4 linked regions of the Anolis sagrei genome follow. The protein of the gene in region 2 purifies or fractionates together with the protein of the main gene of each other region. This does not show direct contact. Links are inferred from orthologs where the notes say so. Each region holds a gene or a part of one and is shown on either strand. Other genes may lie near its edges. The genes, in order: CLNS1A, SNRPF, DDX20 and SF3A2.

What was found.
Region 1: the proteins of SNRPF (region 2) and CLNS1A purify together in Homo sapiens (affinity purification with mass spectrometry; 3 studies listed by BioGRID and IntAct, counting the BioPlex papers as one, with this or other methods). This does not show direct contact. The link is inferred for Anolis sagrei from reciprocal best matches to the Homo sapiens genes SNRPF and CLNS1A.
Region 3: the proteins of SNRPF (region 2) and DDX20 purify together in Homo sapiens (affinity purification with mass spectrometry; 5 studies listed by BioGRID and IntAct, counting the BioPlex papers as one, with this or other methods). This does not show direct contact. The link is inferred for Anolis sagrei from reciprocal best matches to the Homo sapiens genes SNRPF and DDX20.
Region 4: the proteins of SNRPF (region 2) and SF3A2 purify together in Homo sapiens (affinity purification with mass spectrometry; 4 studies listed by BioGRID and IntAct, counting the BioPlex papers as one, with this or other methods). This does not show direct contact. The link is inferred for Anolis sagrei from reciprocal best matches to the Homo sapiens genes SNRPF and SF3A2.

The regions. Positions count from the first base shown.
Region 1 is NC_090023.1:9,832,581-9,839,752, reverse strand, and holds the start of CLNS1A (methylosome subunit pICln), read left to right. Parts: upstream 1-4,167; 5' UTR 4,168-4,253; coding exon 4,254-4,372; intron 4,373-7,172. UniProt on the Homo sapiens protein: Involved in both the assembly of spliceosomal snRNPs and the methylation of Sm proteins.
Region 2 is NC_090025.1:155,432,954-155,440,863, reverse strand, and holds the start of SNRPF (small nuclear ribonucleoprotein F), read right to left. Parts: upstream 3,005-7,910; 5' UTR 2,860-3,004; coding exon 2,857-2,859; intron 15-2,856; coding exon 1-14. UniProt on the Homo sapiens protein: Plays a role in pre-mRNA splicing as a core component of the spliceosomal U1, U2, U4 and U5 small nuclear ribonucleoproteins (snRNPs), the building blocks of the spliceosome.
Region 3 is NC_090024.1:199,508,839-199,516,555, forward strand, and holds the start of DDX20 (probable ATP-dependent RNA helicase DDX20), read left to right. Parts: upstream 1-4,687; 5' UTR 4,688-4,702; coding exon 4,703-4,967; intron 4,968-7,717.
Region 4 is NC_090034.1:51,590,105-51,597,162, forward strand, and holds the start of SF3A2 (splicing factor 3A subunit 2), read left to right. Parts: upstream 1-4,093; 5' UTR 4,094-4,219; intron 4,220-7,058. Other genes in the region: PLEKHJ1 (pleckstrin homology domain-containing family J member 1), read right to left, coding at 1-22, 3,928-4,093. UniProt on the Homo sapiens protein: Component of the 17S U2 SnRNP complex of the spliceosome, a large ribonucleoprotein complex that removes introns from transcribed pre-mRNAs.

The sequences.
Region 1 (7,172 bases), on a different chromosome or scaffold from region 2:
CAAGCATCCTCAGAGGTAGTAAGGATGCTTGTCATAGATGCAGGCAAAACGTCAGGAGAGAATGCCTCTAGACCATGGCCATATAGCCTGAAAAAACCTACAACAACCCAATGATTCCGGCCATGAAAGCCTTCGACTATATATATATATGCAGTTTTTGGGATGTTGTTAGGACCGCTGCCTGCCTTCTCCAGCTCTGCGGGGGCCTACCTCACAGTGACAACTCTTTTTGTGCAGGTCCTTTTTGTGGTTCACTCTTTGCTTCCTCAGTTTCCCTCATACACCTTCTCCCTTTCCCTTATTCTTCCTTTCCTTTCTTATTTCTTCCTTTCCTTCTTCCCTTGTTTTTCTTCACACATCTGTTTCCCTTTCCTTCATTTCCTTTCCTTTCTCTTTTTCTTCCTTCCCTTTTTCCATTTATTGTTCCCTTCTCTTGTCTTTCCTTCCTTTTCTTCTTCCCTTGTTTTCATTCACACATCTGCCCCTCTTCTTTTTCATTCTTCCCTCCCTTCTTCCATTCTTCCCTTCCTTTCTTGTTTATTCCTTTCTTTCTTCCCTTGTTATATTATTTATTTTGAACATTTCTACTCTGCCCTTCTCAACCCCTGGGGGGACTCAGGGCGGCTTACAATTGGCAACAATTCAATGCCACAACATAAAATACAGAATAACAAATATAACAATTATACATGAACATTAATAAAGATTAAAACAGTATACTTAGATTCTGATTAGCTATTGCCCGTCTGGTGGCCGTTTAGCTAGCCATCTACTAATGATTACTCCACTTATCCAAATCCTCTTCCATGCCATAGTCAACATTATCAATTGTCCTTTAATCTGATTGCCCAAAGGCCTGGTCCCACAGCCACGTTTTAACCTTTTTTCTAAAGGTGAGGAGGGATGACCTAATTTCCCCGGGGAGCAAATTCCACAGGTGGAGGGCCACCACTGAGAAGGCCCTGTCCCTCGTCCCCACCAAGCGTGTTTGAGACAAAGGCAGGGTCGAGAGCAGGGCCTCCCCAGACGATCTTAAGTTCAGAGGTGGCACGTAGAAGGAGATACGTTCGGACACCTATCCCCTTTCTTTTCCTTTCTTCCCTCCCTTTCTCTTCCCTTGTCTTTCCTTTATTTCTTTCCTTCTTCCCTTGTTTTCCTTCACACATCTGTCTCCCTTTCTTTACCTTACCTTTCGCTTCTTTTTCTTCCTTCCTTTTCATCCTTTTTCCTTTCCTTTCCAATTTCTTTCATTCTTCCCTTGTTTTCTTTCACACATGTGTCCCTTTTTCCTCCTTCTCCTTTTCCTTTTCTCTATTTCTTTCTTCCCTCCCTTCATCCCTTCCGGTCTTCAATCCTTTCCTTTCCCTCTTTTTTTCCTTCACATACCTGTCCCCCTTTTTTCTCATTTCTTCCTTCCCCTTCTTTTCCTTTTCTTTTTTCTTCGCTCCTTTCTTTCATCCCTTCTTTTCTCCTCCCTTTTGTCTTTTTTTTCTTCCTTCCCTTTATACCCCTTTCCCTTTTCATTCTTTCTTTCCTCCCTTCATCTTATACGTGTCACCTTTCTTTCCTAGTGACATCACAGAGGGCCACTTCACCTAGCAACAACCAATCCACTTTGTTCCTTGTCTTTCCCGCTGCTCTGAAAGGGCCTTTTTCCCCCCCAAACCCCTCAATTATTTTAAGTTGGATAATGAAGGTGTCACATTTGGTCCAGATCCATCAAGCCATGGAGGAGGCTTTGTGGTACAAACCAACATAAATATATACAAACTCTGACTTTTATAGATTTAAATAATACTTTTCTGCATGAAACACAGTTTGTCTACATTGAACCATCAGACAGCAAAAGGCGCTACTATCACAGTCAACCATGTGGACAATTTTGAATTTCAGAGTATTTAATAGTTCCGGATAAAGGTTACTCAACCTTTATCTCCTTAGGTGCCTTAATGCTTAGTCCACATTCAGGTCTGAAGTAGTTCCCTCTCTTTTCTCATTTTCTTCTATTTTTTGCTCTGTAATTGTACTTCTAAAAAAGAAATCAAAGACTTGAGCAAAGAGCAATGTAAGGATACTCAATGTGGATAATCAATTGTAAAGGTGCCGTGTACTTGCAAGAACTAACAAGCACTATTATCATCCGTTTCGGATCAAGTTTGAGCAGTTCCAAGGTATTGTGACCTTTCATTGATGGTTTGTGGGTTATATAAATTATTATTATTATTATTATTATTATTATTATTATAGTTCTTTCCTGCACTGCCTCTGAGGATGCTTGCCATAGATGCAGGCGAAACGTCAGGAGAAATGCCTCTAGAACATGGCTCTATAGCCCAAAAAAACCCACAAGAACCTAATGTGTTTACTATTCTTATGCTGGACAAAATAATACTATATTATTATATTTTATAATTACAATTTTATATATTATTATTAGAATCAAAGGGTTGGAAGAGACCATCCAGTTCCCTACTGTATACAGAGAAAAGAACAAAAATGTTTACTATTATGTTGGACAAAATAATACTATACTATTATCTTTATATTTAATAATGTATTATATTTTGTAATTTATTTGATATTATAATAATTATTAATTCTATTATTATTATCATCATTATCATTATTATTATTACAGTTCCTTCCTGCAGGGAAAAGAAACAATATAAAAACTACAAAACATTAATACAGTTCGCTACTGTATACAGAGAAAAGAACAAAAATGTTTATTATGTTGGACAAAATAATACTATTTAAAATAATACTATTATTATAATATTTTATAATTACAATTTTATAATATATTATATTTTGTAATATATTATACTTTGTAATTTATTTTATATTATTATATTTATTATTATTATTATTATTACAGTTCCCTCCTGCAGAGAAAAGAACAAAAATGTTTACTATTATGTTGGACAAAATAATACTATACTATTATCTTTATGTTTTATACTTATAATTTTATAATGTATTATATTTTGTAATACATTATATTTTATAATTTATTTAATATAACTTTATTATTATTATTATTATTATTATTACTACAGTTCCCTACTGCTGAGAAAAGAACAAAAATGTTTACTATTATGTTGGACAAAATAATACTGTACTATTATTATTATTATATTTTATAATTACAATTTTATAATGTATTATATTTTGTAATTTATTTGATATTAATATATTTGATATTATTATTATTATTATTACAGTTCCTTCCTGCAGGAAAAAGAAACAAAAATGATTACTATTCTTTTGCTGGATAAATTATTATTATTATTATTATTATTTACTATATATATATATATATATATATATATATATATATATATATAATGTAAATAATAATAATAGTAATAATAATAGTTTATCTAGTATAAGAGTAGTAAACATAATAATTATATATATATATTCTCACTTTCTCTATATATATAAATTACTATTACTATTATTATTTACAATATATATACATAATGTAAATAATAGTAATAATAGTAATAATAATTTATCTAGTATAAGAATAGTAAACATAATAATTATTATATATATATATATTCTCTTTCTATATATAAATTATTATTACTATTATTATTTACTATATATATATATAATGTAAATAATAATAATTTATCTACTGTAAGAATAGTAAACATAGTAATTATTATAATATATATATATTCTCTCTCTCTCTACTATGATTATTTATTTTATATCATTATTATTATTATTATTATTATTATTATTATTATTATTAAGAGACAAGCCTTATTGAGAAAGGCCTTAGCTCAGGCCTAGGCCAACTTGGGCCCTCTGTGTGTTTTGGACTTCAACTCCCACAATTCCTAACAGCCTAATAGGCTGTTAGGAATTGTGGGAGTTGAAGTCCAAAACACACAGAGGGCCCAAGTTGGCCTAGGCCCGTCTCGTTTTAGACTAACATCCAACATGGCCGCCTTTCATTCCCCGCTTTAGATACTCCCGAACTCCGACTCCCAGAATCCCACTGCCTTAGTCGTTATGGCAAGGGCTTCTGGGAGACGAAGTCCGGAACTCTCAGTGGATTATGACGTCACGGCGTTGTGGCGAAGGAGAGAAAGGGAGAGACGCAGAAAGGTCTTTGTCGCGTGAGGCGGAAGCGGAAAGAGGTGACAGCGCGCTGCTTCCGGTTCCTCGCGTTTCCGTTTTGTGCCGGAGCGGAGGGGACGCGGCCTAGCTGTTTCCTCCCCTCCTTTCAGGCAGCCATGAGTTTCCTGAAACGCCTCCCGGAGCCGAGCGAAGGCGTCCGGCTGAGGCAGGCCGAGACCGAAGCCGTGCTGGGAGGGCGACGCCTGGGCAGCGGGACCCTCTTCGTGGCCGAGAGGTGAGTCGCCGAGTTTGGGTAGGCCTCACCTCGAATCATAGAATCCTAGAGTTGGAAGAGACCTCATGGGCCATCCAGTCCAACCCCATTCTGCCAAGAAGCAGGAATATTGCATTCAAATCACCCCTGACAGATGGCCATCCAGCCTCTGCTTAAAAGCTTCCAAAGAAGGAGCCTCCACCACACTCCGGGGCAGAGAGTTCCACTGCTGAACGGCTCTCACAGTCAGGAAGTTCTTCCTCATGTTCAGATGGAATCTCCTCTCTTGCAGTTTGAAGTCATTGTTCTGCATCCTAGTCGCTCTCTTGTAGAATCATAGAATCCTAGAGTTGGAAGAGACCTCATGGGCCATCCAGTCCAACCCCATTCTGCCAAGAAGCAGGAATATTGCATTCAAAGCACCCCTGACAGATGGCCATCCAGGAGAGAAGCATTCCCTCCTGACGTTTCGCCCACATCTATGGCAAGCATCCTCGGAGGTTGTGAGATGCGTTGGAAACTAGACAACTGAGGTTTATATATCATGTTTAACAAGTTAAACATGAGCCAACAATGTGATGTAGCGGCAAAAAAAGCCAATGGGATTTTGGCCTGCATCAATAGGAGCATAGTGTCTAGATCTAGGGGAGTAATGCTACCCCTCTATTCTGCTTTGGTTAGACCACACCTGGAATACTGTGTCCAATTCTGGGCACCACAACTCAAGAGAGATATTGACAAGCTGGAATGTGTCCAGAGGAGGGCGACTAAAATGATCAATGGTCTGGAGAACAAGCCCTATGAGGAGCGGCTTAAGGAGCTGGGCATGTTTAGCCTGAAGAAGAGAAGGCTGAGAGGAGATATGATAGCCATGTATAAATATGTGAGAGGAAGCCACAGGGAGGAGGGAGCAAGCTTGTTTTCTGCTTCCTTGGAGACTAGGACACAATGGAGCTATGGCTTCAAACTACAAGAAAGGAGATTCCATCTGAACATTAGGAAGAACTTAATAGAATCATAGAATCTTCCTGACTGTGAGAGCCCCAGAGACCTTCTTTGGAGGCTTTTAAGCAGAGGCTGAATGGTCATCTGTCGGGGGTGCTTTGAATGCAATTTTCTATCCAGTCCAACCCCATTCTGCTAAGAAGCAGGAAAATGGCATTCAAAGCACTCCCAACAGATGACCATTCAGCATCTGCTTAAAAGCCTCCAAAAAAGGAGCCTCCACCACACTCCAGGGGAGAGAGTTTCATGGCTGAACTGCTCACACAGTTAGGAAGTTCTTCCTCATGTTCAGGTGGAATCTCCTTTCCTGTAGTTTGAAGCCATTGGGTTGTTGTAGGTTTTTTGGGACTATATGGCCATGTTCTAGAAGCATTCTCTCCTGACGTTTTGCCTGCATCTATGGCAAGCATTCTGAAAGACCTCACAACCTCTGAGGATGCGTGCCATAGATGCAGGTGAAACGTCAGGAGAGAATGCCTCTATACCTAATGATTCCAGCCATTAAAACCTTCTACAATACTTTGAAGCCATTGTTCCATCGCATCCTAGTCTTCAGGGCAGCAGAAAACAAGCTTGCTTCCTCCTCCCAATGACTTCCCTCACATCTTGATACATGGCCCTCAAGTGATTGTAGTCCAGAAACAGTATTTTTTCCTTGGCTTTGTTGACAAAAGGACTTCCCATTCAGATATTATGTAAAACAAAATATCAGTACTCAAAATACCCAGTGGCGATGGATAGGTGAAGGAGCCGGGCTGTTCAAGAGAATCAAGTCCTTCTGGCATTCTTATCAGTATGCAGAGATGCTAGAACATCACTGCATGTATGTCAGCAGAATTTAGCTCTGTAATTTCAGTAACTGGAATGCAGGTATACCTCAGTTCACAAATCCTTTGAGAAAGTAGCTTCTTTTACAAAGCTTTTTTTATACCTGCCAAGCCCCACAGTCCCCCTTTCTCTCTGTCTGACTATTTTTTTTTAGTAGTAACTGCATTGGCAGGATGGTGAAGGAGTGCCGGAGTAACAAGAATTTATTTTTTATTTATTTATTTCCTGTCCTTGTATACCGCCGTTTCTCAGCCTAACTGGCGACTCAACACGGTTTACAACAAAATATACAGTGCACAGTATACAATTAAAACCATAAAAACATAATACACAATATTACACGTAAATCACAATCCAATACATCTCCTAACTAAAATCCTGGTCCAATTTCATCATCCATATTACCAATCCGTAATCAACACATTCATTGCACCGAATTAACCAAATGCCTGCTTGAATTTGGTGTTACGTTGCAGAAGCATATTTTGTAATAAACAATAAATAAAATCTATATAAATAAAAATGTAATGTTCGTTTAACATAACTCAAAAACCACTGGATGAATTGACACTAAATTTGGACACAAGACACCTATCAGGCCAACGAGTGACCATCACTCATAAAAACACTGACAAACACAGCAGAAGAGACTTAAAAGGTCAAAAAAGCAAAAAACGCTACAGCACATGCGCAAAAACTACTCTCCTGGCAAACAAAACACACAATAGCATAACTACACTCTCTTCCGGACTACAGCTCCCAGCATCCCCTAGACAAGGCCCTTTAGGAGAGGAGGATGATCCAAATGCACCGCTTCTATGCTGCAAGCTTTCTTCTCCTTGGAAATCTTTGAGCGCATCCCAAAACCTGCATATCTCCAGTTTCCTATTCCTGGACTGCAATTTCCAGCAATCCTCCAGTTAGATAGATTAGATAGAGATAGGTAGATAGATGGATGGATCAGGACTACTGGGAGTTGCAGTCCAAG
Region 2 (7,910 bases):
TTGAGAGGCAAACTCTGCATGGGACAAAGTGGAATGTAAGAAATCTGATAAATCAGAAAAAAGGCATTCTACTCACACGCTGAATACTAGATGCATAAAGAAAGCAATGCATGAGGACATCACTTGTGTTCTTTCACAGAAATATACTGCTTCTCATATGGTAATGTATGTTCCTGATCAGTTGTTAAAGCTTTATGCCTCACAATTTTCAATAGCCTCAGTTTAAAGTCAAAGCAGAACTTTAAGAACTACATTGGATCAAAAAAAAAATGTAGCCCACTGTTTGAAATTACAACCTCTTATTATTTATTTATTTATTTATTTCGGGCTTTTATATCCCACCCTATCTCAACCTCAGCAGAGGGACTCAGGATGGCTAACAAATCGGCACACCATGGCGCCCACATCAAAAACATAAATACACAATTTAACGGCAATATAATAACAATAACAGTAATAACAGTATAAAAACGATCAATCAATCAGTCAGTGGTCACCGGTTTAAATCATCATCCAAGGGGAGTCCATCAGTTCTGTATAAGTCAACACGTCAGCAAGTCAGCCTAATCTACAAAGGCCTGATCGCATTGCCAAGATTTTACTTGTTTCTGGAAGGTGAAGAGGGATGCAGGGGATCTAATTTCACTCGGGAGGGAGTTCCATAGCCGGCGGTCACCACAGAAAAGGCCCTGCCCCTGGTCCCCGCCAGATGCGATTGTGACAATGGGGGAACAACGAGCAGGATCTCCCCAGATGATCTTCGGGCCCTAGGTGGATCGTAGCGGGAGATACGTTTGAACAAGTAAACTAGGCCAGAACCGTTCAGGGCTTTATAGGCCAAAGCCAGGATTTTGAATTGTGCTCAGATGCTGATAGGTAGCCAGTGGAGCTGGCGTAACAAGGGCGCTGTGAGCTCCCTGTACCCAGCCCCAGTGAGCAATCTGGCTGCCGAACGTTGGACTAGTTGAAGCTTCCGGGCAGTCTTCAGAGGCAACCCCATGTAGAGTGCATTGCAGTAGTCTATTTGGGATGTAACAAGAGCGTGGACCACCATGGCCAATTCAGGCTTCCCAAGGTACGGGTGCAGCTGGTGCACAAGTTTTAACTGTGCAAAAGCTCTCCTGGCCACCGCCAAAACCTGGGGTTCCAGGCTCAGCGATGAGTCCAGGATCACACCTGCACCTTCAGGGGGAATGTAACCCTGTCAAGCACAGGCTGTAACCCTACCGGCTGTTAGGAATTGAAGTCCAAAACACCGGAAGGGTTGAAGTTTGCCTGTGCCTGATCTACAGTGTGATCCAAACCTGACATTCCTCTATACACTGCGTCATCAGTTGGGGACCCCTCCCCCAAGTACCAACTGCTGCTCTGGGCCAGAGTGAAGACAGAGGGGAGTAGAAGACAGTTCCACCTTGTCTCCTGTGCTATTCTAATTTATATATATATATAATGTAATGCAATATAATACTAATATATTATAATTATACTAGCTGTCCCCTGCCACGCATTGCTGTGGCCCAGTCTGGTGATCTGAAAAATAAAGTAATGGTTTCTAATCTATGTAATTTCTTTCTGCTTGTGGGTAAACAGTATTTCTTGTTGTTTCTTTGTCAGTGTTGATGTGGAGAGTGTATGGTTTGCCCACCCTGGAACATGCAACATAACATTGTCCTACTTTAGGGGTCCCTTTCAAATCTATAATATTATATTTGTGTGTGTGTGAATCATATATATCTATCTATATCTATGGCTGGATGGCTCTTTGTCAGGAGGGTTTTGATTACGTTTTCTTGCCCTGGTGAAGGGAGTTGGACTGGATGGCCTTACATATTTTCTGTTGGTCATGGGGGTTCATTTGCCCCAATTCTGTCGTTGGTGGGGTTCAGAATGCTCTTTGATTGCAGGAGAACTATAAATCCCAGTAACTACAACTCGCAAATGTCAAGGTCTATTTCCCCAAAACTCCATCTGTGTTCATATTTGGGCGTATTGAGTATTCATGCCAAGTTTGGTCTAGATCCATCATTGTTTGAGTCCACAGTGCTCTCTGGATGTAGGTGAACTACAATTCCCAAACTCAAGGTCAATGCCCACCAAACCTGTGTGCCAAGTTTGGTTCAATTCCACTGTTGGTGGAGTTCAGAATGCTCTTTGATTATAGGTGAACTACAAATCCCAACAACTACAACTCCCAAATGACGAAATCATAGTTTTTTTGAGTGATGGTCACTCCTTGTGTAGTGAGACATTTTGTTGCCAAATTTGGTGGGATTTCGTTCATTGGTTCTTTTGTTTTTAAGGTACTCATTATGCACAGAGCATTTTATATAGATAGATATACATATAATATTTATAATATTATAATGCATTGCAATATAATACTAATATATTATAATTATATATTTATATTACTAATAATATTAAAATATAATGGTATAATACAATATAGTAATATTTAATACTGATATTGTACTGTACTATTAATATCATATATTGTATGTATGTATGTGTGTGTGTATATATATACCTTGTAAGCCGCTCTGAGTCCCCTTCGGGGTGAGAAGAGAGGCATATAAATGTCGTAAATAAATAAAAAATAAATACTACAACTCCCATCACCCACTGCTCCCTGCCATGAGGATAAGGGGCCTTGTAGTCCAATGTATTCGAGGGAGACAAGCAGGTGGACGCTTGTATCCAAGGGCTGGCTTCCCAGCCCACTATATCCGAGGCTGTGGGGCCTCCCAGCCGCCCTTTCCTTCCTTCCTCCCGCCTGAACCTCACTATGATCCGGCTCCCGAGGGCCTAAGGCCCGCAGCAAAGCCCCTCTTTCCTCCCAAAGACAAAGGCACTCACCATAGCAACCCGGCCAAGGAAGGGGAGGCTGCAAGCACACAAAAATTACTCTCAGGCAGCACGTGTGCCCGCCAGAGCTCTAAATGAAATACTCGGAAGTGACGTCCAGCTAGTTCCGTCTTCCTAATGACCTTTCACCCGCGCATTTTTCCCTCCTTCTGCTATTTATTTTATCCCCTCTTTCTATGGCGTTCTGTCTGTTGGGGGGAAAGCCACGCTCTGATTGGCTCGTTTCGCACAATAGAGGCGGGGCTACAGCTGCCAATGTTCGATGGAATTTAGAGACTAGGATTATCAGTGAGGCACTTCCGGGCTTTTTTTTTACTTCAACTCCCAGAAGCCTCTGCTGCTTTGGCCAATGATCAGGGATTCTGGGAGTTGAAGTCCAAAACGCCTAGGGGGCCAGCCTTTGGGAAACACGACTCAAGGAATATGAAAGGCTACTTCAACAGAGAAGTCAGCCAAAGCAGAGCACCAAACTGGGCACAGCAAATTATTTGAGAACACAGAAATGCTAGACCACTCTAGCAACCACCATGTCAGACTACACAGAGAAGCCATTGAAATCCATAAGCATGTGGACAATTAAAACAGAAAGGAGGAAACCATGAAAATGAACAAAATATGGCTACCAGTATTTTAAAAAATCTCTAAAATCAGGACAGTAAATAAAGAACAACACCAAGAAAACAGGGGAATTTATTTATTTACTTTATTTGTATACCGCTCTTCTCAGCCCTTAGGAGACTCAGAGCGGTTTACAACAATTTAGGTATACACAATATTTATTTACTTTGCTTATATACCGCTGTATCTCAAGCCCGAAGGCGACTCACGGCGGTTCACAAACAGTAAAAACAGTAGAAACAGCAGTGGTTCCATACAACATAAAACAATTGACTTAACACATTATCCATAAATTACCAATAAGCAATTACAATGCACAATTATTACAAAAAACAACCGTATCCAATCTTCTCATCATCCAAGCGTAGTCCATCATTAAGCATTTAAAAGCAATAGCATCACAAATCATTAAACATCAGTATCAATACATCACTACATCAATATAACAAATCCATCAGGCCTCAGCAATGAAATCAGAATCCAACTCGTTATCCAATATTCCGTGTTCCGATAGTCAGTCAATCAATCACACTGCTTAGTCGAATGCCTGTTCAAACAGCCAGGTCTTTACTTTCCTCCGGAATGCCAGCAAGGAGGGGGTCGATCTAATATCTACAGGAAGGGCGTTGCACAGCCAAGGGGCCACCACTGAGAAGGCCCTGTCTCTCGTCCCCGCCAGGCGTGCTTGTGAAGCCGGCGGGATCGAGAGCAGGGCCTCCCCAGATGATCTTAATGTCCTAACTGGTTCATAGGAGGAGACGCGTTCGGACAGGTAGGTCGGGCCTGAACCGTTTAGGGCTTTAAAGGCTAAAACCAGCACTTTGAATTGTGCCCGGTAGCAAATTGGCAGCCAGTGGAGCTGGCGCAGCAGTGGAGTGGTGTGCTCCCTGAGTGCCGCTCCTGTTAGCATCCTGGCTGCCGAATTGCAGGCAGGAAACAATCAGGATCAGCTACCATCCCAACAAAGGATTCCCCCAGGCAGCAACCAGCCAGGCATTGAAGCTGCAAGGCAATTCAATGCTAATCAAGGTGGCCATTTGCAACATTCACACTTGCCTCAAGCAGACAAGAGTTCTTTCTTCCACCCTGGACTATCCACAGATATATGAACCTCACTTGCCTAGTTTCCAACAGACCTCACAACCTCTGAGGATTCCTGCCATAGATGTGGGTGAAACGTCAGGAGAGATGTCCATTTTCTGGCTATACAGCCCAGAAAACTCACAGCAACCCACTGATAGTATTCTCAATGGAAAGGAAAGCAGTTACGATGGAACTGCCAATTGATCCACTGCAAAGCACCTCTATCATCATCATCATCATCATCATCATCATCATCTTTATCCTTATCATTATTACCACCTATTACAATGCATCCTGAGCCCTGCCGCATGCACAATGGAGGACGTTCTTATAGCAACACCAGAGGCACTCCAAGTGGCCAGCTACTGGTCAAAGGGCATGTAACATGGGTTGTTGTAGGCTTTTCAGGCTATATGGCCATATTCTAGAGGCATTCTCTCCTGACGTTTCGCTGCATCTATGGCAAGCATCCTCAGAGGTGGAGCCCCCGGTGGCACAGTGGGTTAAATCCCTGTGCTGGCAGGATTGAAGACCGACAGGTTGCAGGTTCGAATCAGGGGAGAGGCGGATGAGCTCCCTCTATCAACTCCCGCTCCTCATGCGGGGATATGAGAGAAGCTTCCCACAAGGATGATAAAAACATCAAATCATCCGGGCGTCCCCTGGGCAACATCCTTGCAGACGGCCAATTCTCTCACACCAGAAGCGACTTGCAGTTTCTCAAGTCGCTCCTGACACGACAAAAAAATAATAATCCTCAGAGGTTGTGAGGATGCTTGCCATAGATGCAGCGAAACATCAGGAGAGAATGCCTCTAGAACATGGCCATAGAGCCCGAAAAGCCTACAACAACCCAGTGATTCCAGCCATGAAAGCCTTCGACAAGACATGTAATATAATGCTAAGTTTTCAAACTTTATGTTGTTGTTTTTTTAAAAAAAATGCAATACAATTGTACCCTTGGTTCGCTCCTGGTACGATAAATAAATATAACTTTTTTTTTTACCAAAAGGAAAGCTATTACAATGATGTCAAACTGCATTAATTCTATAGTGTAGAAGCAACTTCCTCCCGTCTTCACAAGACTTTACAGTGAAGAGCCTTTGACTGCATTGAAGACTCTCCATGCCATCTGTTAGAATAAAGGCCTGAGACTCTAATAGCATCACTCTTTTACTTGTGCATGCTTTTTAACATCTTTGTCTGATGAAGAAGCCAATGTCTCAGAATTACAATCAGAATGCTGTTAATGGTCAATGTATTGTTATTAGGTACTTGAACATTTTTAGTATCTCTTTCCATCAGATGTATTGGGTCCTATGAATTGCTATATTTATATTGACCAGCAGGTGTCAGCAAATAGTTTTGGTTTGACTATAATCCTATTCATATCAGGAGTGGCCAGGACAACTGTTGCAGGCTGGTGACCCAAAATGACATTCTAGAGGACTAAGGCCCCTACTACACTGCCATATAAAATCCAGATTATCTGCTCTGAACTGGATTATACAGCAGTGCAAATCCAGCCTGAATTGAACTGCATTACATGAGTCTACACCAGGCATGGACAAACCTTAGCCCTCCAGATGTTGTGGACTGCAATTTCCATAATTCCTAACAGCCTACCTACCGGTGGTGCAAAACACCTGGAGGGTCAAAGTTTGCCCATTCCTGGTCTTCACTGTACATACAATGCAGCTTCAAACTGCATTATATGGCAGTGTAGATGAGGCCAAAGTGATATCTCCCTCAAAAACTACAACTGTCAGTCTTCCTTAATTTGTGGCGGTGTTTAGTGATAGACACATGAAATAATAGAATGTCAAACTGGGAGCTAGGTGGAAGGACAAGCAGAGTAATAACCAGGAACAATGAAATGGCAGTTATTTATTTATTATTTATTTATTTACTATATTTATATACTGCCCCTCTCAGCCCAGAGGTGGCTCGGAGCGGTTCACAAATTAGCAACAATTCCATGCCATATCAATTAAACAGTAAAAACAGTCAATAAATTCTATTAAATACAATAACATATAGTATAAAAATATAAAAATATATAAAAACCGTACAAAGCCTTAAAGCATTGTCATGAGCGTCTCCATGCCAAATCATTATTCCATTGTGTTGTTCCATAATTTCCTTTAGCTATGCTGTGTTTGGGAAGGCCTGCTCAAAAAGCCAGGTTTTCACCTTCTTTCAAAAAGTCAGAAGGGAGGGAACCGATCTTATATCTCTAGGCAGGGCATTCCACAGTTGAGGGGTCACCGCTGAGAAGGCCGTGTCTCTCGTCTCCGCCAGACACAACTGCGAAGTAGGCAGGAGCGAGAACAGGGCTTCCCCAGAAGATCTTAACATCCTAGAAGGTTCATAAGGGGAAATACGTTCAGATAGGTAAGCCGGGTTATATTATTTCATTTGTGTACTCGCTTTGTGTATTCCTTGACATCATGTGACACTTATGAAATATTGAAGTCTGTAAGATAATTCATGGTCAGCACTTTCTGTGAGCCCTTCCACACAGCCGTATAATCCAGAATATCATGGCAGAAAATCCCCCAATATCTGCTTTGAACTGAGCCCACACTGCCATATATTCCAGTTCAAAGCAGAAAATGTGGGATTTTATTCAGCTGTGTGAGAGGTAGTACACTCCGATCTAACTTATTTTAACCCCAATCAAAGGATAATCTACACTGTAGAATTAATGCAGTTTGATACCACTTTAACTGCCATGGCTCAAAGCTTATGAAAACTTGGGGCGATAGTTTAATGAGATACCAACCTATGGCAGAGAAGGCTAGACCTCATAAAATTACAGCTCCCACGACCCCAAAGCATTGGGCCACAGCAGTTAAAGTGGTATCAAATTGCATTAATACTCGAATGTAGATGCACCCTAGTTTTAGGAGAAAATCCAGAATATAAATGAAATAAGTAATATTCCCAATATTTCTATCATTATGAAAGACAGTATGAATATCATTTGTATTGATCTTACCAACCTCATTTGTCCACAAGGCATGAAATGTTTATGTGGAAATGAAGGCAATTTTTGAGCAAACGAAATAGAATAAATGGTTGCACATTTATAAGGCTGAAAATCTGCCCTTCTTTGTATTGGCATTGTGTAACAGCAATGCATTTTTTCTTTGGATTTGTCACAGTTCTTCCGCACACAGATTAAACAGCCATCCTATTGGGAGAGTATTTAAAAACAGTACAGTTTGCTGGTGGGATTTCATAAGCAGTTTCTGAGAAAATTGTATTTATTTCTGTGTTATTGTTTTCTTCCACATATTTTACATTCATTATTTGGACTAAAGTATATGTGCAGAATAGAA
Region 3 (7,717 bases), on a different chromosome or scaffold from region 2:
AGCTTGGTGTGTCAAAATTTGCCAAAAACCTGAGCATAACTTGGGTGGAGTGTCACTTTGAGAAAAAAACCCCATAATTTTGCAATATTTATAGTTTAAATAAGAAAAATGTATAATCCATGCTGAGTTATGGAGTGAACAATGCTCAAACGTGCAGATGTTAAATTTGTAAAGCCTTTTACAAATTGAAAGATGGAATTAGATTGGCTCTTATAAAGTCTATTTCTCTGTATGTGGCCGCATGTGTCTGCGTGTCATCAAAATAGCCATGCGTGTCAATGATGACACGCATGTCATAGGTTCACCATCACGGGCTTAAGCATTGGAGGAAGGACATTATGAAGGTATGAACGGAGGATGAATGGTTTAAGTGTTTTAATGAAATAAAATGTGAAAGAAAAGAAAAACAATAGTCCATGTTATATTTCACTATATAATGTAACACCTAGAAATTAATTGGAGAAAAATGTCCATACACATGAATCAAGCTACACACATGTGGTACAATAGTTTGGACCAGACATAACCAACATGTCAGAAGCTTTTACTTTGACTTTTAGATAATCTAAAAAAACAAACAAAACCCTGGTTGTCTTAAATTGGACTTTTCCAGTCTTTTCCCCTGGAAAAACCCTTGAATGTAATTTTCAGGTCTCAATGAGCTCCTGCAAAAAGTTACATCTAAAGCTGAAAAGAGTTATATTTTACAGTCATTGAATTCTTTGTAACTTTTCTGGCAAACCATGGCTGAAAAAAAGTTTAAAATTATGATTTGGGCTGGATACACACTACCAAATAATGCAGTCTGAATTGCATTATGTGGCCACTATAGATTCATATAATGCAGTTTGAACTGCCCTTAACTGTATTATATGGGTCGACACAGGTCATATATTGATTGTGTAGATCCGGAAATGAAAATGAGTCAGGCCCATAACACAAGAATGAGATTTCCTGAGATGTCTTCATGTTGTGATAAAATAGTTCAAAGACTAACCAAATATACTAGTTAATCTAAATTCTTACCCATAAGAAATATAACGCATGTTCCTTGAGCTACTGCTCTTGCAACATTCATGTGGCTTATTTCCAAATGTTCGATCACCACACCTGATTTTGTATGCCTTCACATGCGCTTGGTTAATTTGTTACTCCTTCTCATTAATAAGAAGTGGGATTATTTTTGATGCCGAGCAACTATTTTGAATTATACTCTCCCTGCACATCAAACATCAATACTGTATAAAAGATGTATCCTATATGCAGATTGCACCCTCTTCTGGCGAGAATCAGTATTTCCAATATCTATTAACAGCCCGGAAAACTCACAGCAACCCAACAACTAAACTTGTTATGTGAATTTATTTTAACCAGTAACTAATAAGTATCATTTGCTAAGAATAGCAATTCAAAATGAAAACCTTGTGAGGTCTCCAGAGGAGGGCAATGCCATATGAGGAGTGCCTTAAATAGATGAGTATTTTTCGCCTGCAGAAGAGAAGTTTGAGAGGAGACATGATAGTCATGTATAAACATGTGAAAGGATGTCATAAGGAAGTGGGAGGAGACTTGTTTTCTGCTGCTCTGGAGACACAGCTGAATAATATCCCACACAGCTGAATAATATCCCACATTTCCTGCTTTGAACTGGAATATATGGCAGTGTAGTCTCAGAACATGGAGCAATGGGTTAAAATTAGAGGAAAGGAGATTCCACTGGAAAATTAAGAGGAATTTCATGACTGTGAGAGCTGTTCAGCAGTGGAACTGTTTTGGAGTGTGGTGGAAGCTCCGTCCTTGCAAACTTTTAAAGAGAGACTGGATGGCCATCTGTCAGGCGTACTTTGATTGTGCTTTTCCTGCATGGCAGGAGTTAAGGTGGATGGCCCATACGGTCTTTTCTAACTCTATGAGTCTAATATAGAATTTAACTAAAGAATACTGCTGACCACTATTTCAAATTACCATATCACAACAAATTTTAACCCCCCCCCCAGCAATATAATCAGAATGTTATTTCTTTTTGGAAATGCTCCTTTTTGGAAACTGTTCTCAAACTAGCCTAGAACATAATAAAAAGGACAATCAACATAGTGCCTTTCCACACAGCCATATAACCCAGAATATTAAGGCAGAATAACCCACAATATCTGCTTTGAACTGGATTGTCTGAGTCCACATTGCCATATATCCAAGTTCAAAGCAGGTAATGTGGGATTTTAATTCAGATGTGTGGAAGGAGCCATAGAAAGAGGACAAAGATTTGCTTGAGGACGCCCATTCCATTCCTATAGATTCCTATTTGAAGACAAGGGGTCCACCCACAGTGTGGAATTGATGCAATTTGACACCACTTTAAACAGACATGGGTCAGTGCTATGGAATCCTGGGAATTGTAATTTGGGGAGGAGAAGGTTAAAGACCTTGTCAAACTACAACTCCCTTGATTCCATAGCATTGAGCCTTGGCAGTTGGTGGTGCCAAAACCGCATTGATTCTACAGTGTAGAAGAATTGAAAGATTTATATCCATGGATTTATTCCAAATAGATGTGTTGTTCTAATTCACCATTATTACTATCATCATCATCATCATCATCATCATCATTATAGGAACTCAAGGCAGCTAATAATTTAGAAACAAATACCACCCCCCTCCCCCCGCACACAATTAGATATACGAGGGTTCAATGAAATATAATGCCTCCACCTTCGCAACTCAACAGATGGCAGTACTGGTATGCGGCAGGTACTGGCTTGTTCATTAGGCTCTCCTTGACAGTTCCATTTTGGTGGGAAGCCTTAACATTGAACAGTTGTGTTATTAAAGTGTGAAGAATGGAACCCTGCGCAGATGGTCGGTCAATGCGACTTAAGCAATGTGTAGTCATTGAATTCTTGACAGCAGAAAGTGTCACCCCAAAGGAGATTCATCAAATAATGCAAGCTGTTTATGGTGATTGTGTTGATGTGAGTACTGTGCATCATTGGGCGAGAAAGTTTAAAGGTAATGAGGTGGGAAAATCTGACTTGCGTGACAAACAAAGAGCTGGACGTCCTGTGACAGCAACCATTGAGTTTCACAAGCAAATGGTTGACAGATTGATTCAGGATGATCGTTGTATAACTCAGAGAGAAATTTCAAGCATAATCGGAATTCACAAGAACGTGTGGGTCACATTATTGCTTTGCTTGGCTATTGAAAAATCTGTGCACGATGGGTACCCAGAATGCTGATGCCTGAAATGAAAATGCACAGACTCGAAACTTCAGAGGCTGGATCTCACCACCGTATGGCATCCTCCACACAGTCCAGATTTAATGTATTGTCGAAGGTTTTCATGGCCAGAATCAATGGGTTGTTGTAGGTTTTTTCGGGCTATATGGCCATGTTCTAGAGGCATTCTCTCCTGATGTTTCGCCTGCATCTATGGCAAGCATAAATCTGGTGGAACTAGGAAAACTGGGTTTATATATCTGTGGAATGACCAGGGTGGGACAAGCTCCAGCAGAGAAAAGTCCTTTGTCCCACCCTGGTCATTCCACAGATATATAAACCCTTTTTCCTAGTTCCAACAGACCTCACTACCTCTGAGGCGAAACGTCAGGAGAGAATGCCTCTAGAACATGGCCATATAGCCCGAAAAAACCTACAACAACCCAGTCCAGATTTAGCCCTGTCTGACTTCTATCCTGTTCCCGATAATGAAAGATCTGCAGGAACATCATTATGCTTCTGATGAAGACATTGAGAGAACTGTGAGGCGCTGGTTGCGCAAACAGAGTGTCGACTTCTTCTGTGACGGCTTCAGAAAACTTGTTCATCGTTGGCAGAAATGTATCCAATTGTCTGGTGATTATGTGGAAAAGTGAATAGTGGTAGTTAAAGAGCACATTCTAAGGATTATTTCTGTATTTTCGAAAGCTTTCATGGCGAGAATCACTGGGTTGTTGTAGGTTTTTTCGGGCTATATGGCCATATTCTAGAGGCATTCTCTCCTGACATTTTGCCTGCATCTATGGCAAGCATCCTCAGAGGTCTGTTGGAACTAGGAAAAAGGGTTTATATATCTGTGGAATGACCAGGGTGGGACAGTGAATGTTTCAACTGACCACCTTGATTAGCATACAATGGTCTGACTGTGCCTGGGGCAATCTTTTGTTGAGAGGTGATTAGAGGTCCCAGATTGTTTCCTCTCTGTTGTTTTGCTGTTGTAATTTTAGAGGGTTTTTAAAATACTGGTAGCCAGATTTTGTTAATTTTTTCTGTGTTTGATTTATTAAAATATTCCCCTCCAAACCCAAGTAATGAAGGTGGAGGCTTTACTTTTCAGTCAACCCTCGTATGTGCGTCATTCATTCAAAAAGGAAATGTCACGGATTACTAGAGACTTTGCACAGTATCTGTCAGGATTACAGCCCCAAGGATGATAAATATACAGATAACAATAAGCTATTATGACACATGCTTCCTATTCTCTCAACTGTGCAGTTCAGTAAGCCCAAGTTTGAACGAGATTGAACTACGCCCCTCCCCTTCAGCTTGCCCAATGGTTTCTCCCACCTTCTGAATCTTTGTCCAATCAGGCTCCATCGTTTACTCCCTCCCCTCCCTTTGGGCGCCAAAGTGCTATTCCTCCTCCTTCCACCCCTCCTCTCTCAAATGGTTTGTTCTCATTCGCTGGCGTTCGCCGCGCGGGACGATGCAGAGGTGGGGAGAACCTGCTCTCATTCTAGTCCGGACTTCTCGCGAGATTTGCGGCAGCATTCTGTCCAAGATGGCGGCTGTGGAAGCATCTCACGCTGAGGGCTGGCTTCGTACCCGGGACGTTCACTTGCAAGAAGGGCCCGAAGACTTCAGCTCGCTGCTGCTGTCCCCGCTGGTGCTGGAAGGACTGAAGGCTGCCGGGTTTCTGAGGCCTTCTCCCGTGCAGCTGAAAGCCATCCCTCTCGGGAGATGTGGTTTAGGTGAGGGGAGGACGTTGTGGCTCTTAGGCTGCATTTAGATCAGGTATAGGCAAGCTTTGGCCCTCCAGGTGTTTTGGACTTCAACTCCCACAATTCCTAACAGCCGGTAGGCTGTTAGGAATTGTGGGAGTTGAAGTCCAAAACACCTGGAGGGCCAAAGCTTGCCCATACCTGATCTAGACTAGATTCAATGCAGTTTGGCATCACAGCCATGGCTTAGTGCTATGGGGTCCAGGGAGTTGTAGTTTGGCGAGGCACCAGCATTTTTGTTGGCATAGGGAGCTAAAGACCATGTAAAACGAAAATATTCATGACTAGCCGTCCCCTGCCACGCGTTGCTGTGGCCCACATGGGGATTCTGTGTGGGAGGTTTGGCCCAATTCTGTCGTTGGTGGGGTTCAGAATGCTCTGTGATTGTAGGTGAACTATTAATCCCAGCAACTACAACTCCCAAATGTCAAGATTCTATTTTCCCCAAAGTTCACCAGTGTTCATATTTGGGCATATTGAGTATTTGTGTGGAGTTTGATCCAGATTCATCATTGTTTGAGTCCACAGTGCTCTCTGGATGTAGGTGAACGACAACTCCAAAACCAAAGGACACTGCCCACCAAACCCTTCCAGTATTTTCTGTTGGTCATGGGAGTTCTGTTTGCCGAATTTGGTTCAATTCCATCGTTGGTGGGGTTCAGAATGCTCTTTGATTGTAGGTGACGATAAATCCCAGCAACTACAACTCCCAAATGACAAAATTATTTTTTTTGAGTGAAGGGCATACATTGGGTTGTTAGGTGTCTTGTGTCCAAATTTGGTGTCAATTCGTCCAGTGGTTTTTGAGTTCTGTTAATCCCACAAATGAACATTACATTTTTATTTATATAGATTCCATAGTATTGAGCCATGGTAGTTAAATGGTGACAAACTGCTTTAAGTCTACAGTGTAGAAGAGGTGCGTCCTTAGTTTGTTTTGGGGTTTTTTGCGTCTTATTTATTATTTATTTATTTCCTATATTTATATCCCACCCTTCCGAGGGCGGCTTCACAAAGCATCATATGGTGTCATCATCATAAAACAATCAACAGTACATTAAACATATTGAAAAATATGAAAAACATTAGTTAAAACAATTAATTAACACACGCCTATTAAAAATTGGAGTCCAAAATCCAGTCTGGGTCAAATCATTGCCGTAAGTGTTAAAATCTCCTTTTACTTGTTGCTCACTGATCAACCGCTTGGTCCTATAGCCAGGTCTTGATTTTCCTTCTAACAGACAAAAGGGATGTGGCCACTCTGATATCTCTGGGGAGAGCTTTCCACAGGCAGGGGGCCACTGCTGAGAAGGCTCTGTCCCTCATCCTCACCAGTTGCGTTTGCGATGTCGGTGGGATTGAGAGCAGGTCCTCCCTACTCTCTTGTCTGTGCTTTGCTATTTTTTTTCTGCTCAGACTGGGGAAACTCAAGAAGTCTTGTCAAAGGCTTTCCTACCCAGAATCACTGGGTTGATTTTCGGCTGTATGGCCATGTTCCAGAAGCATTCTCTCCTGACATTATGCCTGCCATAGATGCAGGCAGAATGTCAGGAAATAATGCTTCAGAAACATGGCCATACACCCAAAAAACTTATAGCAACCTTAAGAAGTCTTCTCGTTAAGGCTCTGGTTGCTTCATTTGTAACAAAATAAAATTAAAATTTAAGAAAAGTTTAAATTGTAATTAATTTCTAAATTGAATGGATTCTTCATTTACTGTCAGAAACGAGATCAAGACATGAACTTTTGTATTGCAGAAAAGGACATTTCAGAGGAATGAAGCTTAGTGGGATTGGTGGTTTTATTTAGCTTTTGGAGGTTGCCAAACACATGGGATGCATCTACACTATAGAATTAATGCACTTTGACAACCACTTTAACTGCTATGGCTTAGTGCTATGGAATCAGGAGAGTGGTTTGGTGGAGAAGACATTGAGCCATGCCAGTTGAAGCGTTAGACTGCATCAGTTCTATAGTTTTAAATGCATCTATGGTTATTCAAGTGTTGGGGTTTCCCAAAGGGTCCCCATCATGTTTTTGAACTGTAGCTCCCATAATCTGTCATTCTCCATGACTTAGCCAAAAGTCAACTGGTAACTTAATGGCAAATATACACACCCCTGAGTCCTAGTCACAGTACTTCTGCTGTAATGACAACTTAACCTATTATTATCTTTATTGTTGTTCTTGTTGTTATTATATTTATTGATACCCTGCTTTATCTCTCCTGAAGGAGACTCAAAGCAGTTTAACATAAAAGCATTAACATACAATTAAAATATACAAATATGCAAACATTTAAACAGAATTAAACCTAACAGTATTAAAAATTCACAGTTAAAATCCATTAGAACATATTCAAAGTTAAAAACCACAGCAGCCTCTTTAAAAGCCTGTCTGAATAAAAAGGTTTTAACCTGCTGCCAGAAGAGCAGCAGGGAGTGGGCCATTCTGGCTTCCCTGGGCAAGGAGTTCCAGAGTCGTGGAGCAGCCACATGTTCCCACCAACCAAGCTTGAGATGGAGGTGGGGCCGAGAGAGGGACCTCTCCTAAACATCTCAAGGCAGGGCAGGCTTGTACAAGGGGATGTGGTCAGCCAAATAGCCTGTACCTGAAACGTCTCAGGCTTTAAAGGTCATAAACAGCATTTTGAATTGTGCCCGGAAACAGACTGTCAGCCGGTGAAGCTGCTGAAACAGGGGGTTTAATAAATTTGT
Region 4 (7,058 bases), on a different chromosome or scaffold from region 2:
TTCACCAGGCGCTTCTTCAGGGCTACAAAAAGAGAGACATCCAAATTGAAATATTAAATCAATAATAATATAATTATAATAACTTTATTTTTATATCCCGCTACCATCTCCTTGAAGGGACTCGGGGTGGCTTACGCATGGGACAGAATGTCCACAAGACATAAAAGCAAAAACAATCTATAAAACTACATACATTAAAAGCATTGTAAAATACAACAACCCAAATAAAACACACATTAAAAATATTAAAAAGCATAAAACATTGCATCAAAGCCCGTCAGATCAGGCTCAACAAAAACTAATGAGCAAGCTAACTAAAATGGGCATGAAAAAGATAAAAAGGGGCTGGGCAAGGAATAGTGCAAATAGTATACATAGGAAGTGGATAGATGTAGAACTGTCTAGCAACCTAGGGGCTGGGCCTACATCACTAAGGACTAGTCATTCTTGAATGCTCGCTGGAACATCCAGGCTTTCAGATCCCTACAAAAAGGGGACAGTTTGGGGGCTTGCCTAATCTCCCTGGGAAGGGTCAGGGGGGCACAACCAAGAATGCCCTCCCTCATCTCTACCAGCGTGCTTGTGACGGTGGTGGAAGCGAGAGGAGAGCCTGCACAGCAGATCTTAGAGATCATACCAGTTCTTAGGGGGGATACGGTCACGAAGATAGGAAAGACACTAACTGCTTAAGGCATTGTAGGTCATAATCTGCACTTGAATTGCAACTAGAAACCTATCAGCCGCCAGTGGAGCTGCTTTAATAGGGGCACTGTGTGCTCCCTATAATTAGCTCCAGTTAGAAGCCTGGCTGTCGACCTTTATACCAGCTGCAGTTTCTGAGCAACTGGTACAGCCCTACGTAGTGTGCATTGCAATAATCCAATATTGAAGTAATTAAGCCATGGATCACCGTGGCCAAATCCGGCTTCTCGAGGTATGGTTGCAGCTGGCGCACAAGTTTTAACTGTGTGAAAGTCCTCCTGGCCATCGCCGACACCTGAGCTTCAAGTGTCAGCGCTGAGTCCAAGAGGACCTCCAGACTGCAGACCTGTGCCCTCAGGGGGAGTGTAACCCCGTTGAGCATGGGCTGCCATTTTATACCTCTATCAGCATCATGACTGACCAGGAGGACCCCTGTCTTATCTGGATTAAGCCTCAGTTTGTTGGCCCTTATCCAGACCATCACAGCTGCCAGACACTGGTCCAAGATCTGAGGGGCTTCCTTGGATTTAAATGGAAAGGAGTAGAATTGTGCTTAATTTGCGTACAGATGGCACCAAACGCCAAAACTCTGGATGACCTCTCCCTTTCATGTAGATGTTGAAAAGCATGTGAGATAGAATGCAACCTTGCGAGACCCCACAGGTCAATGTCCAGGGATCCGAACAGGGGTCCCCCAGCATCACCATCTGGGTGCGATCCTCCAGGAAGGAGTGGAGCCACTGCGAAGCAATACGCCCCAAGACCCATTCCAGAGAGCCGACTCAGAGCAAGACCATGGTTGATGGTATCGAAAGCTGCTGAGACATCCAAGAGAACCAGCAGGGAAACAAACACTCCCCCTGTCTAGCTCTCTGCGGACGTCACCCACCAAGGCGACCAAAGCCGTCTCTATACAGTGACCAGGCCTAAAACCAGACTGTGATGGATCAAGATAATCGAGTTGAATGAGTTCTGTTTAATTTTAATACTCCCCATGTTTAATTCTGGTTTAAATGTTTACTTGTTTTTGGCTTTAAAATGTAGACTTCTATTTATTTTATTATACTTTTTGAAACATTGTTGGCTGCTCTGAGAGAGAGAAAAGCGAGATATAAAACTAGAAATATTATTAATATATATTATTGGTAATAATAATGTATAAATAAAAATACTCAAATAAAATAAACCCAGGCCACTCAATGCTGCCGAGCAGGGGTCCCACAACATCACCATCTGGGTGCAATCCTCCAGGAAGGAGTGGAGCTACTGCAAAGCAGTGTCTCTCCCTTTCATGCAGATGTTGAAAAGCATGGGAGATAGAATGGGACCTTGCGGGACCCCACAGTCAATAGACAGGGATCCGAGCAGGGATCCCCCAGCATCACCTTCTGGATGCGATTCTCCATGAAGGAGTGGAGCCACTGCAAAGCAATACCCCCAGGACCCATTCCAGAGAGCCGACCCAGAGTGAGACCATGGTCAATGGTATCGAAAGCTGCTGAGATATCCAAGAGAACCAGCAGGGACACACTCCCCCGTCTAGCTCCCTGAGGAGGTCATCCACCAAGGCGACCAAAGTCGTCTCCATACAGTGACCAGGCCTAAAACCAGACTGTGATGCATCAAGATAATCGGTTTGAATGATCTTCTGTTTAATTATAATACTCCAATGTTTAATTCTGGTTTTAATGTATTGTCGAAGGCTTGTCACACACACAGATAGATATCTACATAAAAACTCCAACCATCACCCAAGTAAAAAAAGAAGCACCATTAAAGCCTTGGCAGACCGTGCAAAAAAGAATCTGCGAACCCCACCTCCTTCAAGATGAACTGAACCACCTCAACTGGGCTCTACAGGCCAATGGAGACTCCACCTCAGACATCAGAAGAGCTGCAAGACCAAGAACAAGCCACAAGAGTAAAGATGAAGATCCACCCAGAGGAAAAGTGTTCTTGCCATACATCAAGGGAACCACTGACCGCATAGGGAAGCTGATGAGGAAACACAACATACAAACAATCTACAGACCCACCAAGAAAATCCAACAAATGCTACGTTCAGCAAAGGACAGAAGGGATTCTCTCACTTCTGCAGGAGTCTACTGTATACCATGCAGCTGTGGACAAGTCTACATAGGGACCACCAAACGCAACGCCCAGACACAAATCAAGGAACATGGAAGGCACTGCAGACTACTTCAACCAGAGAAATCAGCCATAGCAGAGCACCTGATGAACCAACCTGGACACAGCATTTTATTTGAGAACACAGAAATACTGGACCACTGTCACAACCACCATGTCAGACTACACAGAAAAGCCATTGAAATACACAAGCATGTGGACAATTTCAACAGAAAGGAGGAAACTATGAAAATGCACAAAATCTGGCTACCAGTATTAAAAAACTCTAAAATTGCAACAGCACAACAACAGAGAGGAAGCAGGCAGGGACATATAATTACCTCTCAACAAAAGTTTGCTCCAGGTACAGTCAGGCCATTATATGCTAATCAAGGTGGTCAGTTGAAACATTCACACCTAGCTCCAGCAGATAAGAGTCCTTTGTCCCGCCCTGGTCATTCCACAGATATAGAAACCCTTTTTCCTAGTTCCAACAGACCTCACTACCTCTGAGGATGCTTGCCATAGATGCAGGCGAAACGTCAGGAGAGAATGCCTCTAGACCATGGCCGTACAGCCCGAAAAAACCTACAACAACCCTCTGGTTTTAATGTTTACATGTTTTGGCTTTAAAATGTAGACTTCCATTTATTTTATTATATTTTTTGAAACATTGTTGGCTGCTTTGAGAGAGAGAAAAGCGAGATATAAAAACAGAAATACTATTAATAATATATATAATTGGCAACATATAAATAAAAAATACTCAAATAACATAAACACAAGCCACTCAATGCTGCCTAGGCAAATATTCCCAATCCTACATGAAATCTGTAATATTTCTGAGGATTTAAAGGCCACTCAAGTTTCTAGTCCAGAATAGGAAAGGGAAAAGCCTCCCAAAAGGTAGTACTACTTGAGAGGCGTGGCCTGCGGCGTGACGTCACGCGACACCGCCCTCGCGACTCGAATGGGCTGTTTCCCTGAGGGGCGTGGTTTGGACCGTGACGTCACGAGGCTGGTCCCTCCCTGTGCGTCGTGACGCCGCCGCTTGGTCTCTGTTCCCCTCCCCCCTCCTTATTCTCTCTCCTCACTCACGGCTTCCCTTCTTGGGCGCCCGCATGAGCACCTCGGCGGCTTTCTCCGCCGGCTGCCGCGAGAGCGAGAGCAACTCCCGCTCGTTGAACCGCATGGCCGACGCCCCCCTCTCGCGGTAAGAGGCGCTGCAATAGTCCCACTTCCGCTCCCGGCCTCTTCTCGACATCACTTCCGGCGCGCGAGCCTGAGACGTTTTGGCCGGAAGTGGATCCTTGAGCGGCGCGTTTGGCTTTTTCCCGTGCTCTTTCTCTCTCCCAGAGAGGAGAGGAGATTGAAGCGGGGCCGAAGCGGGGTAAGCAATGGCGTCCTGAGGGTCTAGGGAAGGGTTCCAAACCTTTGGCTTCAACCAATGTTGCTCTATATCTTTGCCTGGTTTAATTGCATGTATTGGCCTCTTGAGGGTTTATGCCAGGCATGGGCAAACTTGGGCCTTCCTCCCGGGTGTTTTGGACTTCAACTCCCATAATTCCTAACAGCCTCAGGCCTTTTCCTTTTCCCCCTCAGCCGCCTAATTGTAGTGCTCGCCAAATCAGTTCATGGGAAATCCGATCAAATGCTTTTTCGAGATCAAGGAATACAAAGTTCAGTGGTTTCCAACAAATCAGTACATTATTATTATTATTGTTATGGCCAGAGTTAACTTCACACTTGCACAGCCTCAGCGCGTTCCAGCAGCTTTCCTCCTGCTCAGAAGATTTTTCAGTCTTCTGCTTCCACAGTAGATACTTGAGCACATGCCAGGCCATTATCCAGTTTTTACCATTGTCTTTCCCCCAGTTTAGATGATATTACATACTCACAGACTCACCACAGTACGCACTATCTTGTCCAAGTAGACAGGTTCTTTTATAGTCTTTGACGAATAACAGCACAACATCAAAGGAAGGGGAATATACATTGTACATGGTTTCCTTATATACAATACATTTACAATACATTTACTCCTTGATTGCTTACCAACTAATTGACCCAACCCAAACCCAGGATTGTGTCATAGACAATCACTCTGAGTAGGCAAAAACACATTTCCCAAATGATTCCCCACATACAATCAATACATTCTCAGCATTCCCAACAGAAGCCCATTAACCCATTAGCAGTGCATGACTCAATACATAGTAAAACCTAACAATTATTTTATTATTAACTTTATTTGTACCCCGCTAGCATCTCGCGAAGGACTCGATGCCCCTTACAAAGGCCAAGGCCTCAAAATACAACATAACAATACAAAACCTAAGCAAATTAAAAACAATTAAAGCAATATTAACAACAAGCAATAAACAATACACCAAGACACAATAAAACTGGGCCGGGCCAGAGTAATGGGTACAGAATTAAAAGTGCTGATGTGACAGGTGATATGTAAGGATTATAGGGTAAGTGCAGTGTGCAGTATGCAACAATCTTAATTCTAATAAAGTGCTTCTGGGACTTGGTATTGGAGATTCCTAATCTGGGAAGGCACATCGGAACAGCCAGGTCTTCAAGTTCTTCCTAAAGACTGCCAATGTAGGGGCCTGTCTAAGATCTTTGGGGAGGGTGTTCCAGAGTTGGGGGGCCACCACAGAAAAGGCCCTGTCTTGCGTCCCCACCAAACGCGCCTGCAACGCAGGCGGAATCACGAGCAGGGCCTCTCCGGATGAACGAAGTGAGCTCGTGGGTTCATAAACGGAGATGCGGTCAGGCAGGTAGGATGGTCCCAAACTGTTTAGGGCTTTGTAGGTAAGCACCTGCACCTTAAATTGGGCTCGGAAAATAAACAGCAGCCAGTGGAGCTCCTTGAACAGGAGGGTTGACCTCTCTCTGTAAGCAGCACCAGTTAACATCCTGGCCGCTGCCCGTTGGACCAGTTGGAATTTCCGAGCCGTTTTCAAGGGCAGCCCCACGTAGAGCGCATTACAGTAGTCCAATCTAGAGGTGGCCAAGGCATGGACCACCCCGGCCAGATCAGCCTTTGCGAGGTACGGTCGCAGTTGGCGCACAAGTCTCAATTGTGCAAAAGCCCTCCCGGACACCGCCGACGCCTAAGCCTCAAGCGTAAGCGATGAATCCAAGAGGACTCCCAAACATATAAAAACATAATACAGATTAAAACATTAAAGAATATAAAACACCACAAAAGTAATAAAAACAACATCATTAGCGTCTCATTATTATCAAGCATTGTCCAGTTCCATTGTCAAATCGTTCAATTTCCTGTATTAGCTACTCTGCATTTATAAATGCGTGCTCGAACAGCCATGTTTTAACTTGCCTCCGAAACGTTAAGAGGGAGGGAGCAGATCTAATCTCCCTAGGGAGGGCATTCCATAGCCGAGGGGCCACCGCTAAAAAGGCCCTGTCTCTCGTCCCCGCCAAACATACTTGAGACAAAGGCAGGACCGAGAGCAGGGCCTCCCCAGATGATCTTAAAGTCCTTGATGGTTCGTAAAGAGAGACACGTTCAGACAGGTAAGTTGGGCCAGAACCATTAAGGGCTTTATAGGCCAAAGCCAGCACTTTGAATTGGGCCCGGTAGCAAACCGGCAGCCAGTGGAGCTGGCGCAACAAGGGGGTTGTATGCTCCCTGAGCGCCGCTCCTTTTAGCAACCTGGCTGCTGTTCGTTGGACTAGTTGAAGCTTTCGGACCTTTTTCAAAGGCAACCCCACGTAGAGAGCGTTGCAGTAGTCTATACGGGATGTAACCAGAGCGTGGACTACTGTGGCCAAGTCAGACTTCCCAAGATATGGGCGCAGCTGGCGCACAAGTTTTAACTGTGAAAATGTTCACCTGATCACTGCCGAAACCTGAGGTTCCAGGCTCAGCGATGAATCCAGGATCACTCCAAGCTGCGAACCTGCGTCTTCAGTGGGAGTGTAACCCCATCCAACACAGGCTGAAACCCTATGCCCTGTTTGGCCTTGCGACTGACCAGGAGAACCTCTGTCTTGTCTGGATTCAATTTCTTTTCCCAATGATTTTCCATGAGTAACCGGACAGCATATATTGCATCTATTGTGCCACACTCCCTGACAAAGCCACACAGATTTGGTGTAATGGCTGTGTGTATATATATGTGTGTCTGAATATATAATAGTAAATAATAATAAATTTGGCCACGGTGGTCCACGCTCTGGTTACATCCTGA